2 linked regions of the Drosophila melanogaster genome follow. The protein of the gene in region 2 interacts with the protein of the main gene of each other region in a pairwise test. Each region holds a gene or a part of one and is shown on either strand. Other genes may lie near its edges.

Region 1 (7,717 bases), on a different chromosome or scaffold from region 2:
TCATGGACTTCTGTGATGAGCTGCTCTTCGAGATCTTCCAGTACCTGGACACGTCCTCCATTCTGGCGGTGATGCAGTAAGTAGTCCGCTATCAACAAAGATCTCTGCGTCGCTGAGATTTCCATGTCCTTTCCATATTATAACATTCCGTAATATTCCAGTTGCTCGCCGCGCTTTGAAAACCTCCTGCTGGATCACCGCTTCTATCATCACATAGACTTAAGCAACGGGCCCCTGCCTATGGGCATCCTAGAAGAGATTCTTGGACGAGCCACCGAAAAGACACACACCATTAAAATCTGCGGACCTCCGTCCTCGCAGCATGTTGCAGGCGAATTCCGCCAGTTCACCCAAACGCTAAGCTCCGTTTTCCCCAGGGTTGTACAGCTTAAAGTGCTGGAGCTGGAGGGCGTCAGCCTGGACTTCGAATACGTGAGTGCTGGCATCTCGCAAGTTTCCCTGGTCTACCCCAATTTTATCTTTTCTTCAGATACACATAACTGAGTTCCCGGCCACTCTGAGGCGTCTGAAGCTAAAGGACTGTAGCGTTAGGGTCGGCGACACGCCAAAAAGCATATTTTACTCCATAGAGCTGCATCTGCTTGATCTAGAGGTGAGTTTGAGCGAACGACAGTCCAATGAATAGCCTAACCCCGTCTTATTTAGGATCTCAGTATTGAGGACAACAGCTGGTTCGAGCCCTATTATATTATGGGCCTGTCGAAGTTACCTTCCTTGCGGCGTCTTAGTCTTAAGGGCTGTCAGGCGCTATGCAAGTTTGTGCCCTATGGCAGCATGGCGGCACGTTTCGGTTTCCAAAAACTAGAGGTTGGCATAGGTGCAATCGGCGAATATTCTTTATAAAGGGTTATTTATTTCAGTCACTAGATCTTCGCCAGACGCCCATCAACAACTCAGATCTGCAGTGTTTTAGCGCTATCGAGAATCTCAAGGAACTGCTGCTTGAGTCGCCACAGATCCTGCACTCCAAACAAGCCGTTGCTAAAAAAAATACCAACGGCAACGCCACTGACGAAGCTGCTTCCCCGCAGCCTGATTCACTGAAAGTGCTTAGCGATGACGAGCCGTCCACATCGCGGGCCGCCATGGAGCATCTGCGTGCATGCAAGGTTGCGTTCAATTTGGACAACTGCAGCGATAGAAAGGAGGAGAAGTCGCCGGTGCCAACTGAGCCTCCTTCGGAGGGTCAGGATCTTCAGGCGAAACGAATACGAGCACCATCAGAATCCGATGATGAGGACACATCATCCACCTCAGGGTCTTCGTCGGACAAATTGGAGGTTTTATCGTTGCCCAGAAATGGTCATAGCAACGCTGCACCTTTGAGCGGAGGCGTCGACTTGCCGCCACTTCCGCATGCAGCCGATGCAGCCAATGCAGCCGATGCACCAATTGCAGTTGATGCAGCCAATATCGAGGCTCCCGGGCAGAGTCCCGGCTTGGATCCTAGACCCCCGCGCGCTTACATCTACGTGCCCGACGCTGAGAACGCTAACCCGCGCCAACAGCGTAGTGTTGTGGCCGTATTTGCGCAGGGAACGGAGCAACGGTATATCTATGTCAATCAACAATTCTCACTCCCGATGAATGTTCTGATGCCGACGCGACGCCATCGTACGCATCCGCGTCCGAACTACGATCAGGTTGTTCAGCATCCGATGTTTTGGAACATGCTCGAGCCACTGGATCGCGACTATGCTCGACGAGTGCGCCCACGTCCGCCTTCCTGTCAGACAACACCTCAATACTATGTCACCGATCGGGCGATGTATAGCTTTGGCCGAGCTGATCGACCGGTGCAACCGGACGTTGTCTGGATCCGGAACATCAATCGCTCGCCAGACAATAAACTGGAGCGACTGTCGTTGCGAAACTACCATCTCATCACAAATCATACCCTGGAGCACCTGGTGCAGTGCTCTCCGAATCTGGTGTATATCGATGTTAGTGGCACCAGCATTACGCTTCCGGCAATTCGGCGCTTCAAGATCTCCAAACCGAAATGCGAAGTGGTCGCCAATCACTTGGAGGAGTTTGAAAGACTTCCGGAGCTGGAGACACAGGAAGAGGATGACACGGTGGTGGTGATGCTGCAGCCACCGCCGCGCGCCGACGACGAGCAGCCACCGAAATCGCCACCGCCACAGGAGGTGGTGGCTCCTTAGAATATTGTTTGTAAAGATTCCGTCGAAGTGGGCCGTGCTGGATTATTTTATTTTTTTTTAAGAAAAAAGACGACATGGCCAAGCCGATGGATCCACAACGCTGGCTACAAGCGAGTGCTGTAGCTCAGCCATCTAGTATTACGTTTGACTATTCGAGTCCTTGTAATATATACACGCCAGGCTAAACGCACTGTATAAATCAAAACCACAATTCAATTCCTTTAGCTAGGCATTAAAAAGAGCGCGCGAGATCCTTTTGGTAAATATGTATAATGAAATGTTTATTTGGTTGGTATGTAGTGGGTAAGGACAGGCCAATAGTTCGGTGACTCGAGTTAAAAATGTATGTAAACTGTATATAAGCGGTGTAAAATGTTTACTTGTCGACGCCATCCTCCTCTTCGGCATCCGACTCGTCCTCGGTATCTTCCGACTCGGTCTCCGATCCGCTGGAGCTCTGACAATCGGCAATCTCGCCGGTGAAGAAGATCACCGCCTTGGGAATCACGCGCTCCTTTAGATAGAAGCCCACCTCAAAATCGTTTTGCAGCATAGCCTGTGGGAGGAGATGCATGTGAAAGGATCGCAGATCGCTGATATTCAATCTTACATTGACGTCACAGTAGTTGGGGTCAAGGGTATCTTCTGGCAAAAGCGGCGGCGAGAAGAACTCAAAGAACGACGGCTCTTGATTTTCTGGTCAATGAGTGAATTCAACTAACATCTGTGAAATTTGATGCTCCCAGATGGCTTACCGGTTTTGGTCTGGTCCTTGGTCTGCTTCCAGTCGATGACGCAGCCTTCGCACTTGTAGATCTCGGCGCCATCATATGCGAGCGGATCGTCTGGATCCGGCAGGCAGTTGAGGAAATATGTCTTGGTCAGCACCGTGTTGGTAAAGTAATCATTGGGATCGAAGTGGAATTCGATATCAAACTTCACCACGGGTTCGTTGTACAGCCGAGAACGGATGTCGCTTAAGCACTGCGCGGGAAAAATTTCAATTAAAATTTAAATATCCTTCAAATCGGATCTATCCATAACATACCTCTAATATTTTCTCATCCCTCTTGCTGATGAACTCGGTGTACGATGCTTTGAGAACCCTCAGCCAAAAGTTGGGCACGCTCTGATTGGTTTCCACGTCGCCGTGGTTTTGCTTTCTAAACTCACTGCACCGATGGGATTTTTGGGGGAATTGAGATCTTGTTTAACCAAACACCATTAATGGACTTACTCTAGAATCTTCTTGCGCTTATCAAATATGATATTGTGCTTATCCTCGTACTTCTTCTCGATATTGTAAATGTCGCGCTGCAGAGCCACATCCAGGTTAATGGTCTCCAAATAGAGCTGCTTCAGTTCGGTAAGAGTTTTCTTCTCCTTCTCGGTGAAGTTTAAATCCGATTCCATCTTCGGTGGAGCGGTGTACTTCATCCGCGGAGGGTTTCGATTTCGCACAGTTTCCATTTATGTTTCGACACGATAATCAAAAGAAAAATAAAAAAAATATTTCTTGAAGTGATTTGGTTTTGTTCAAGTATAAAATTTGGACGTGTGCGTTTTCGCTGTGACTGCCGTTGTGGGAATGAAAAGTAGCTCTATCAGTTTCCCAAAACTCCCAGCACAAAAGGCAAGGCCCGCTTTTCACTAAAGTGCTGGAACTAACTAGATGTACTAGAAAATATTAAGCAATTTATTATTCTTTTTTTTTAAGCTACATTTTTAAACCCTCGTGTTATTGCTGTTTTAGTCACCCCTTTCGCCTTACTTTGCCCATTGAGATGCAGGCCATGTTTATTGGCAATTTAACGCACATTTAATTCCTGCTCTTTTCCTGTTTATATATTTTTGGTTTCCCCAAAATTTTTTGTTTGCTTCCGCCAACTTTTCATTTGGCATGTAATTAAGTGTGGGCCAAAAGCTTGGACTGGGTGCCGCCAGCCTGGCCTAAGTGTATGCAAATCACGTGCTGAGTGCTGTGCCGCCAAGGGTTCAGGTTCAGCCATTGCCATCGCCATCGCCATCGCCATCGCCTCCTGGAGTCTGTTAAATGGACCGTGGACCCAGTTTCTGGTCTATCCGAGAGTCGCTTGTCTTTTGTCGCTGGTTTTAATAATGTGGGCCAGGCTTAGTGCCATATGTCCGGCTGTGAAAAACAACAGAAAAAAGTGAAAAAAAAGAGTGAAATTGTCGCTTAGGCAAACATTTCAAAATGAAATTATGAGTGGGCCAGTGGCGGCGGGCGAAAAAAAAGTGTAAACAAATTCAGCCAAGCGGAAGTCCAGACACACACACACACACACAACAACGCACACACACATCCGCCAAATGAAAGCCGCAGAGGATAAGCGGGAAAAGCGGGAGATCGCATTGTTGTGCGCTGTTGAATGTTTGCCCACAAATACAAACACACACGACACACGGCACATGCACTTGTCCAGTCTCCACAGGACATCCACCACTCGCTGCTCTCATATTTGATATTATTAAATTTTTTCCCTAAATACCGCTGGGAAATTAAAAAGAAATCATAACGCAAATAGTGTAAGGCAGCCAGGCATCTGATGATGACGGCTCTGGCTGGCCAATTTCCACATTTGTACGAGTGTATGCCTGCACTGTGCAAAATAATTGGTATGTATATATATTTCACGTCATTATCATTAGCAGGAATGGAATATGCAAGATAGTTAGGTATTAATCCAAATGAGATGGAAATCGATAGTTGGGAACTAATCAAGATCAACTAATCAAGGACTCTTCAAGTGCACAACCATTTAAGCTATTCGGGCATTTTCAATTTACATTTCGGTCATTCAATTAGGCGGTGCATAAAATGTAGCTACATAAGTAATGGAGCAGCCCCATCATCATCAGCATCATCAGGATCATTTGGAGGAACATGGGGACCATGGCCATCACCCACGTGATTGCCGCTCGTCGGAGGTCGTCAGTGCCGGGAGCGTCAACATAGTTTGAATTTAATTAAAACCAAAATTAGTAGAGCCCAGCAGAATGGAATGGTTTGGCGCAGCCCGACCAACCGGAGCAACAGTTACTTGGCGCAGGGATTAAAGCTCCTGCTTCAGCTCCTTCCTGGCAAAAGTGCATGTCTGCAGAAAATCGAATCAGGAGCTCAACATCCTCATCCACGAGCCAGGCAACCTGGCAGCCTGGAACTCCTACGTTTCCACCTGCTCCTGAAACTGAAGCAACGGCGCCATGCCGAAATATCTGCAACAAAAGCATAAGATGTAGTGCGGCATTTGATGATGAAACGACGTGTTAATTAAGGTCATAATAATTCAACTTAAATTGAAAACTTGCCCGGCCCCAGAAACGCAACCATGGCAGGGCATGGCACTCACTAACCATTTTTGGTTGGTCGGGCATCGGGCATCGGGCGAAGGGCATCGCATCCTCGGAATCCTGGCCAGGCTAAGCTGATTGCAACAAATTATTTTGCACCTTGGTTGAACTTTCCTTGAGCTGCAGGCAGCATGGCGTTCATAAACGAATTTTGTTAGTTTGCTTTGCTTATTTTAAATGGAACTAGGTGGTGGCCAGAACTCCCAGGATCTAGGATACGCGAGTGGCTGGTGCACCGAGGGACAGGGGCCAGTGTTGCCTTTGGTTTTGCATAAACCAGACAACGCATCTAATAAGTTGCAGCTGTCGGTTGCCACCGTTCTCCGTGCATTTCAGTTTCAGCCAAAGAAGTTGAAAGTTTTTTACTTGGCCCCGCCTAATGCCTCAAAGTGCAGAGCTGTGTTTGCCATTAAATGATATTAGTTAAATGATAATTAACAGCTGGAAAACTTGCGAAATATCTCCGTCTAATTTGCATAGCCAACTAATTGGCTAAGAGGGTCATTGCTTTTCGTATTTTTCGCCAAAAATATCCTTGCTGCTGCTCGGCGAATGTGAATTTGAAATTTGATTGACAGCTTATTAATACAATTACAATAAATATTTTGGTGGCAACAAGATTGCACATTTTTTTCGAGTGTCCCAATAAAATGGTAGCTTAGTTGCTCATAATTAACAACCACACACCTGCATTTCGTCTTGCCCGACATCCTAATTCGAATGCTATTCATAAAGCACACACACACACACACACACGCGCAGCACAAGGAGCAGATCCTTGCCAGCCGCAGGATAGTTTGGCAAACGCTTCCTCGGCGCCGCACCCCCGCACCACCTCCGCCGCCTGAAAACTTTTTACTAATTTACATTCATTACACACATTTGCAATAAAACTAGAAACCCAACTCGTACACAAATTCAGACGCCCATCTATACATATGTATGCGTTTGTGTGTACATGAAGTCTTCAAGAAGGGAGTGTGTGTGTGTGCGTGCGCGTGTTTGTGTGTGTGTGTGTGTGAGGTGTACATACGACTACATTGACATTTTACATGCTTCATTAGCGTGCAAGCGCGGTAATAATGACATTTCCTTATGGCTGCATTTCCCACGAATACGGGCCAACTCCTGCATATTGATGCAAAGTTTTCGGTGGCGCAAAACTTGCGGCTATGTTGCCACAAAATTTATGCTTCGTTTTTGGCACCTCTTAAAGGCACGTTAAAGTTGCCCATTCGCCGCTGATTGCTAACCGAAAAGCAAAACAGACAATGACAATCGAAATTGCTCAGCATTTCGACAATCAAATCAGCCAAACAAGACAAACACGACAACATAAAGCGAAGACATACAAATTTGTCAGCAGTCAGTCAAAAATGAGCAGCGGAAATGATGGCAGCCCCGCCGGAAACGGAACGCGACAAGGTGGATGGTTGGCTGGGTGGTTAGGTGCTTGGGTGGTTGGGTGCTTGGGTGGTTGGGCGGGCATTTATTCTTTCTGCTGCACAGCTGATGGCACATGACCTCCCCGTGACTTTTGCCTGCCTGCTGCGCTGCTGCCTGAAATTAAAATTGCATTACGGCCCAGAGCTGGCAACGTATTGGGTTCAGATTTGGTTGGCTTTCGCCTTGGATCGTTTCGGTTTGCTGATGGGCATGATGCTGCTGCACTGCTAAAAACAAAAAACATCCTCTCTTTTCATAATTTTAATAAATTTCCATTGAATCAATGTCGCAAACTCACTTGGCTAGCTGCTTGTTGGCTGCTGCCTTATTGAAATGCATTCGAGGTAGTGTTTTCTTCGACTGTAAGCTCATGTGTTTGTGCTGGTTCCATAAATATTTCAATATTTGTGCACATTTGAAGCTGCTTAGCCTTAGCCACGCCCAGTGCCAACAGCCAACAGCACCGGCGAGCAAGTCAGGCAGGAAATAGTTTAATTAAAATTCCTTTGGCAATGTCATTAAGGACATTACATTTTGTAGATTCTGCTTTTGCTGCTGCTGCTGCTGCTGCTGCTGCTGATGTTCAAGGTATTTGGTGAGGCCTGCCAGGACGAAGGACATTTCAATAAGACACGAAGCTGCCCCGCCCGGGCAGCCAAGCCAAGCCAAGGACCAATGAATTTCATTGTTTTCGCATGCAAATTTGCAATGTG
Region 2 (8,476 bases):
TCGCCGTTCACTTCCGCCTCACTTCCTTGCGATCCTCCTGCTTCGCTTAGCTCAGCTCAGCTCAGCGCAGGAATCCGATTCCACTTCTGTGCCATCCTGGGTCGGCATATATCGCTGCATATATTGCCACTGTGCCGTACAAGCGGTCCGCTATATATACAGTAGATTGCTGCCGTTTCTCTAATACCTGTATCGATCAATTTGGGGGCTCGGTGTCCGGACCTACGACTTGTCCAAGTACTGCAGGCCCGTGCTGGTCACCGTGGCCACCGGCGGTGCAGCCACCGTTACGAAGTTGTTGATGAGGAAACTGTGCGCCATGCCCATTGGAACGGAGACGGGCATGGCTGATATGCTCAGGGATTCCGCTGGCTCGCTGGCGGCCATTACGGCGGCTGCCTGGAGCAGAGTGGCCGTCCCCGCCTGGCTCGAAATCGTATTCTATATTGAGTTGAAGTTAATACTCTGTAGATTCATGGCGGTGGTCGGATTAACGTTGATGGTGCCGGTGCCTGCGCCCGTTCCCGCACCTGCTCCGCCGCCGGTGGCTTCGATGTAACGCTGCCGCGTCATCGAGTGCACATTGCCGGGCGAATCCATGTATCGAGGATCGAACAGGCTCATCACCCCGATCGCTGGGTGCGAGTTTCCTCCGGCCGGCAAACTTCCAGCTCCGCTTCCCAGGCCAGTGTGGTGCGATGTGCACATGAGCGAAGGTGTCGGAGTCTCCGCCTGTGGTGGTATCTGCATGCCGAGCGTTTCGTTGGTGTTGTCATCGCCCTGATTCGTCGATGGCGTCGGCGAGGGCGACAGATTCGGCTCCTGTTTGACCACACGCGCTTTTATGCTGGGACGTGACACCGGATAGCCACGCTTTTTGTATTCCAGCCAGAGTGTCCTGTTGTTCACTCCGTAAAGTCGTGCCGCCTTGCAGAATCCGATACCTCCCGTGCGTACCGCCTCCAGGGCTCGGATAAAGTTTTCGTCTCCCTGCGGATTCACCGATCTCTTGCGCTTCACCACCTGGTTGGCCGCTCCAGGGGCTCCACCGTTTCCAGCACTGGCATTGCCCGCTGCTCCGCCAGCCGCACTTGCTCCACCGACTCCTGCGTGCACGGGGGATTGGGTGGGCGTCGGACCCTGACTGTAGACCGATTGCACCATGTTTGATTCATTGGGCGAGGTGGGCGAAAGGTTCTGGGCCGCCGTCGCATAGCTTCCGACTAGGTTGTTCACGGTAATGATCTGCGACGAGTAGGCCTGTCCGGAGGCAGAGGCCTGCTCCTGCTGTTGCTGCTGCTGGTAGTGCAGCTGCTGCAGATGCTGCTGCTGTTGCGTGGCCTGCTGCTGGGCTTCGTGCTGCTGCCGCTGATCGCTATTGACGCCGCCGGCGCTATTCGCACCACTGCTCTGGCTACCGGCACCACCACCGCTGCCTCCGCCGTTGCCCAACAAGTTGGACTGGCAGGCGGGCAGGGAGAAGCGCGGATAGTTGGAATCAACAACTGTCCATTGCAGACCTGGGAAGGGGAGAGAGAGAGAGACAGCGAATGAAAGATTGGTTCTGTTACTGGTACTGGTTACTGGGGCATTTCGATCGAAATTGAAGTTGAGATCGCTCTCTCCTAGCTCTAATGGATCGGGATTGGGTCTGTTTGAGTCTGGTCAGGTCAGGTTTGATCTTAGTTCAGTTGTGTTGGTACTGAGACAGTTTATAGGTTCTGAGGCAGTTCTTAGATAGGTACAATAGAGGTAAGTAGTAGAGGAAAGATTGCTAAGGCTAAATCATTATCATCGGAAACCGCTGTTTTGGAAATTCCCACAAAACAAAAATCAAAAAAACGCAAGTAAACGCAAATCGAGAATGAACAATTGAAAAACAAATCATAGATTTAGTTTTTGGAAGTTTTAGTTTTTGTTTTGGACTTTGTGCTAGCTCTCTCCCATTCCCAAGTTCAGGCAGGATTCGGTTTTTTGGAATACAATACACAATAATAGTTAAACATAGAAAATTTCGGCATTTCACAATTATTTCGTTGCACTTAGTCGGTAAATCAGTAATGAATAATCGGTATACTAGATCTCATATTTAGCTTTAGCATTCATTTCTCCAAGCGCTGTGTACTGAAATTGTTTCGAAATGGCACCGTTCGTGTGTGAGATATGCAGATGAAGTATGATTGTGGGCATTATTTCGATGAATCGAGAGTACACAGTGGTTCAGATTTCACATTGATTTGCTTAAGAGAACATAGGTGACAGTGCTTATCAGTTCAGTGAACCCCTAGTCAGTTCGCAAATGATACCAACATTGTAAAGCTATGTTCTTTCAGTCATGCTCGTTTCAAAAAAGTCAAGTCATTTCTGATCTATACACGTTTTCCCTCTTGACTCCTGCTTAGTCTATAGTGTGTCAGCTTTCTTTTGACTACGAATTGCAGTTAAGTTGTCCGTGATTTGTGTTTTTTAAAGTAATCAAGGCAAACAAAACTAAGAAACGATAAAAAAAAAGAATCCAACCTGGCGAATGAGATCCCTACCCGATGAACAATGAGCTTTGATGGAACAGTGTGCTGGCTTTTGATTTCCAATTGCGACTTACCCGAGTGCGAGGACTGGGAGTTCGGCGCATCGTGCTCGGATGGTGTGGTACCGCCGGAGATGTCCAAGGGCATCGTTTGGTTCACGCCGCCAATGTCGACTTCGGGCTTCTGCACGTGGGCACCGAGAAGAAAAAGAAAACAATTAGTGACTTTGCTCATGCGGACGAGGGTACAAGGTTAACGTGACCAATTTCATTACAATTTGCATGTGTAAGTGTCCGTGTCCATCGTCAAGATCCGAGTCCTGCGGCTGCTGCTCTAGCTCAGCGCTGGCCGACTCCTTGAGCAGCTTAGCCGCGTGCAGTGAGTGGCCGGCCAAGCCGCCGCCCGCACCAAATGTCATCTGGTTCATCTGGGCGAGACTGAGACCGGCGTTGCCGGCACCACTGCCCGCGTCCAGTGAGCTGTTGTGCTGCTCCTCCGCGTTGTTGCGATCGCCAGAACCTGCGTTATTACGAAAACCGGTTATTTTTTGAGACCTTACAATTTTGGATCTATCACGACGATGCTTTACCCAACTCCAACTCACCGTTATTCGAGGATTTGCGCAAGCGCTTGCGCCTGGTGGCCGGCGAGGTTCCAGCGCTCAAAGGCGACGGCGTACGTCGCATCTGGTGGTGATGCGTCTGCGCCGCCTGCGCCTGTCCGCTCTGCTGCTGCTGATGGTGGTGGTGATGGTGCTGCTGCTGTTGTTGCTGCTGCTGCGCCTGTTGTTGTTGCTGCTGCAACTGCTGCTGCTGCTGGTGGTGATGGTGCTGCTGCTGTGCCTGTTGCTGGGCCTGCTGTTGCTGCTGCTGCTGGAACTGTTGGGCCTCGCTGCTGCTCCACAGGGAGTCGCCGACGCTGCTTCCACTGCCGGCTCCCAGGCTGCCAGCCGAGTTGCCCGCTCCAGTGCCCACTCCCGCACCGCCCACCATCTCGGTGCCGTCGGTGGAGGACTTGCTATCCGACTTGGTAAGATTGGCCGGATCCGTTGGCATCTCCGCTAGGCCTTTGATCTTGAGCATCTCGGCGGTCTTGAGGATGTGCGGCAGCTGCTCCTGCGACACATTTACCTCGCCGTAGTACATAAAGTCCACCATGGTCTTTAGGTCATCGTACTGCACGTCCTTCAGGATGACAATGGGATGTTGGCACGGATTTGTGGTGAACAAAGCCTGTCGAACACATTTGAGTGTAATTCGTAAGGGATATACGCTGCGGCGATCTCCAACTTACCTGAAAGTACGAGCTGCAGGCGGATAGCACTATTTTGTGGGCCTGTAGTTGGCGACCCTCGGCTGCCAGGGTGACGTCCACCAGGGTGCCATTGTGCAGCAGCGAGGAGCACACGGAGATGAAGTTCGGCTGGTGGTTGTTCCACCGCAGGCAGAACTGCTGCACGGACATGATGTCGAGGGGTCCGGATCCGCGTCCGGGATGCGGATTTGGAGCTCCCTAAACCTCAATCTCCGGAGCAACCTCCTCCTCCTGCTCCCGCTCCTCCGCCTCCTGCTTCTTTCCTTCTTCGTAGCCAATTAATTCGCACTGATAACACTTTTTATCGCCTCCCGCTCGCCTCTATTGATTTTTATTAATTTTCCTTGCTTTCCGGTGTTTTGTTCGCTTTACTTTTTCGCTCCGACTTTTAATCAATTTAAATTTATGAACAATCGCAGTCTGTACATGTGTGTGTGCGTGTGGGGGGTCGGGATCACGGTTTTTTGGGGGGCGACGACTTCTATGCCGCACGCATCGCGAGTCACTGCAAAAAGGGGTAATAAAAATGGGGTTTAAATAAATCAAACATTATCGATGGTTACACAAATTGCTCAACAACAAATTCCACTCTCTCGCTTTCTTCCTCTCTCTCTCTCATCTGCTTTTCACAGCTGCGCGCTCTTCTCGCTTACAATAAAAAATCAAACAGAAACAACAACATCGGCGGGACTGCGTGTGTATGTAATTATACAGTCGCGAAAATGAAACACAACACACACACACACTGGAACACAACAGCCATACTTGTTGTTGTTGCTGCTCACTGGCCAAAGTTTTATTTTTGATAAAACCGAGAACGTAACGAAATCGTATAGCTTTTTGTATAGCCGCAGTGCTGTAGACCTTGAATTTTCTTTAATTCTTATGACGTAATTATATACGCGCCCCGCGCTCCTCCATCTCTTTCGCACTTAATCGCCTTCCCCATTCCCGTCTTCCTCACTCTCTCACCCACACAGACGACCGCCGACGACGTACTAATCGCTGCTTCTTCGTTTATTCATCGTATCGATATTTTCAGTTTTCAGTGTTTCAGTCGTATTTATTTATGTGCATGTCGCGCGTTATTTTCGTATGTCTTTTAGAGGCACAAAGATGATGCTCGAACTAGCCAAGCCGCCACATGTTATTCACTCGCTTTTCCCCCCACAGAATTCCTTTTCCTCTTGCTTTTTATCGCTTTTACAAACTTTGACTTTTTGTGGTAGGTTTTTGCTGTTGTATTTCTTCTTTTTCTTTTGCTTTCCAAAAACAAAATGGCGCGCAACAAATTTATGCGAGGGGCAAAACAACGCCGAAAACTGTTAGAGCGAGCTGAATTTCAATGCCTTTGACTGGCTCACTCTTTGCGCCAACTTTTTTACCACTTTTTACATTATTTTAATGCGGATTTCCTGGCGAAAAACGCATATGAAAATTCTTACGTTTTACTTCTTTATGCGAAAGATTTTTGTGACTATATGGCAACTTTGTATACAACGAGTTGACAGGTCGCTTAATAGTGTGACCAGTCCTAGATCAAAACTAGTATCCCAATTGTTAAAGATTGTCCCAAATTTTAAAATAATTTGTTTATTGTATTTAAATGGTTAACATTTGAATTGTTGTTTTAAAATGTTGACTTCGGTTATACATCTGATGAATCACAATCGGCGTTGCCACACTTTCCCCGCATTGTTCGTACTTAACGGAACCAGTTCGGTTCCCTTGGTGACTCGCGAATTTGTTGTTGGCTTTGGCTAGAGATGACAGTATTGAATAAACAACGATAGCCTGCAGCAGTCAAATTAAACTAATTGTGCTTATTGGGCGGCCAAATACGTAAATATCACTCAAAAGCCGTTATAAGGTACAAAAATAAGGGTAAGAATTGTTAAAAGCTGATTTCAACCAGTAAAACACCATTTCAACCCATCGATATTCGCATATCCATGCTCGCCGGTATCGATGCATTTTCCCATGTTCATCTCTAAGCAGCAGCTGCAAAAAAAATCAACTATACTATTTTACATTCGGTCCGTAAAGTTTATGAGAAAAGAGCTGCCTACAGGATTCCAGATACCGTTATGGAGGAACTACGCAAGCATTTATCCAAGGTGAACGTGCCATGCGCATCCGGGGCGGGCAGTCCTCCCATCTACAAGGACGAGTGCGTCTACTCCTATGACAATCCCGAGACGCCCACCGGTTTGTACGTGTGCCTGCACAGCTTTTTGGGCTTCGGCGAGGCGTATGTGCGGGAGTATGCCGACAAGACCGGCAACCGGGTCTTCCTCCACATCCAGCGGGTGAAGACGATCAAGGAGGGCGCCGACATGGAGGCCGAATGCGCGGAGTCGGAGGCAGGACCGGAACGGAAGATCACCCGCCTGGCCATTGGCGTCGAGGGCGGCTACAACGAGTCGGACATGGCCAAGAAGTACGAGATCAAGGACACGTACAGCATCGTGGTGGCTCCGCACCTGGATAAGAAGCTGCCCTATCCGGATCCAGAGCTGCCCATGCGTGTCACCCAGTCGGTGGAAGCGATCCTGGCCGCCGACTCGGCAATTGCCAAGTTGGAGAAGGCCACGCTGATGGGTGAGTTGCAGGATTGTTATCCCATGCTGACGAAGGTAGCCTAAAATCAATAATTTTTCAGGCACCTGGGATGGTGAAGTGCGTCAGGCGTCGAAGTACGCAGATAACCTGCAGCAGCTGGATAATGGCAAGAGGATTCCCCCATCCGGCTGGCAGTGCGAGAAGTGCGACTTGACCAACAACCTCTGGCTTAATCTGACCGATGGTTCGATCATGTGCGGACGCAAGTTCTTTGACGGCAGTGGCGGCAACGATCACGCCGTGGAGCACTACAGAGTAACGGGTTTCCCGCTGGCGGTGAAACTGGGCACCATCACCGCTGATGGCAAGTCGGATGTGTTCTCCTACCCGGAGGATGAAATGGTACTCGATCCACACTTAGAGCGCCATCTCTCCCACTTTGGCATCAACATGGCGGCGATGAAGAAGAGCGAGAAGTCGATGGTGGAGCTAGAGTTGGACATTAACCAGCGCATCGGCGAGTGGACGGCGCTTACGGAGAGCGAAAGTGAGCTGCAGCCTGTTGCTGGTCCTGGATACACTGGCATGCGCAATCTGGGCAACTCCTGCTACATAAACAGCGTGATGCAAGTGCTCTTCGTCATCCCAGACTTCCAGCAGCGGTTCGTGGGCACTGGAGCGGAACGCTATTTCAAAGAGTTTCCCAGCGACCCGGCCAACGACTTCAATATTCAAATGGCCAAGCTGGGAACTGGTCTGCAGTCGGGAAAGTACAGCAGTATTGCCGAGAACACTTTGGACACCGATCACAGCACCGGAATATCGCCGGCCATGTTTAAGAACATTGTGGGCAAGAATCACCCAGATTTCAGCACCAAACAGCAGCAAGATGCCAACGATTTCTATCTGCATTTGCTCACCCTGCTGGACAGGAATTCGCGGAACCAAACAAATCCCGCAGATGCTCTAAAGTTCCTGCTGGAGGATCGCGTTGAGTGTCTGGCCAGCCACAAGGTGAAGTACAATACCCGCGAGGAATACAGCTTCCGTCTGCCTGTTCCGTTGGACAAGGCCACCAATCTGGATGAGGTGCGGGAGTTCCAGGAGCGTAAGAAGGCGGCCCGCGAGACCGGACAACGGCTTCCGGATCGCGACATCGTGAGGCACAAGGTGCCTCTACAGGCATGCCTGGAAAGGTTTTTCGGCCCGGAGCTGATCGAGCAATTCTACTCCACTGCCATCGGGTCCAAGACGAATGCCAGGAAAATTACGCGATTGGCCACCATGCCCGACTGCCTGATGATTCACGTGGGAAAGTTCACGCTGGGCGACGACTGGGTGCCCAAGAAACTGGACGTTTCCGTAGACATGCCCGATGAACTGGATCTAAGTAACTGGCGCTCCGCTGGTGGCTTGCAGCCTGGTGAGGAGGCTCTTCCCGAGCCCGCCACAGAGGAGGTGAAGTTTGCATTTGACGAGGCGGTCATGTCCGAGTTGCTGACCATGGGTTTTCCACCGGAAGCCTGCAAGCGTGCTTGCTATCACACCAAAAACAGCGGACTTGAGGCAGCCTCCAACTGGTTGATGGAGCACATCGCCGACGAGGATATCTCGGAGCCCTTTGTGGTGCCGAACAACAGCATTGGAGACTGCGCCGCCAACCAGTTTGTGGCCAATCCCGAGAGCCTGGCCATGCTCATGAGCATGGGCTTCGACGAAAGACAGGCGGTGGCTGCTCTGAAAGCGACCGATGGCAATGTGGAGCGCGCCACCGACTGGATCTTCTCGCACGCCGATTCAATTGGTGTTGAGGATGCTGCCCCCGCTGCGAATTCATCAGCTGCAGCGGCCTCCTCGACGCCAAATAAGACCAACTACCGCGATGGCCGCGGCAAGTATCGCCTGGTGGCATTCATCTCACACATGGGCACCTCCGCCCAGGTGGGACACTACGTTTGTCACATTCGCAAGAAGGGCGAATGGGTGATCTTCAACGATAGCAAGGTGGCCAAGTCGCAGAACCCACCCAAGGACCTCGGCTATCTGTATCTGTATATGCGCGAACAGTAGCC

What was found. Proteins that work in one complex are often made in the same cells at the same time.
Region 1: the proteins of BtbVII (region 2) and mil interact in a two-hybrid assay, tested with the Drosophila melanogaster proteins (one large-scale study listed by BioGRID).

What each region holds. Positions count from the first base shown.
Region 1 is NT_033777.3:27,908,507-27,916,223, reverse strand, and holds mil (milkah), read right to left. Parts: upstream 3,778-7,717; 5' UTR 3,657-3,777; coding exon 3,424-3,656; intron 3,359-3,423; coding exon 3,235-3,358; intron 3,171-3,234; coding exon 2,942-3,170; intron 2,883-2,941; coding exon 2,797-2,882; intron 2,743-2,796; coding exon 2,563-2,742; 3' UTR 2,439-2,562; downstream 1-2,438. Other genes in the region: CG5003 (uncharacterized protein), read left to right, coding at 1-76, 162-432, 491-613, 667-828, 882-2,186.
Region 2 is NT_037436.4:3,145,499-3,153,974, reverse strand, and holds the start of BtbVII (BTB-protein-VII), read right to left. Parts: upstream 5,330-8,476; 5' UTR 5,288-5,329; intron 5,276-5,287; exon of another isoform or gene 5,238-5,275; intron 5,074-5,237; exon of another isoform or gene 5,054-5,073; intron 4,843-5,053; exon of another isoform or gene 4,815-4,842; intron 4,348-4,814; 5' UTR 3,993-4,347; coding exon 3,822-3,992; intron 3,761-3,821; coding exon 3,133-3,760; coding exon of another isoform or gene 3,118-3,132; intron 3,048-3,117; coding exon 2,803-3,047; coding exon of another isoform or gene 2,791-2,802; intron 2,712-2,790; coding exon 2,603-2,711; intron 1,521-2,602; coding exon of another isoform or gene 223-1,520; exon of another isoform or gene 1-222. Other genes in the region: Usp5 (ubiquitin specific protease 5), read left to right, coding at 5,930-6,443, 6,505-8,474.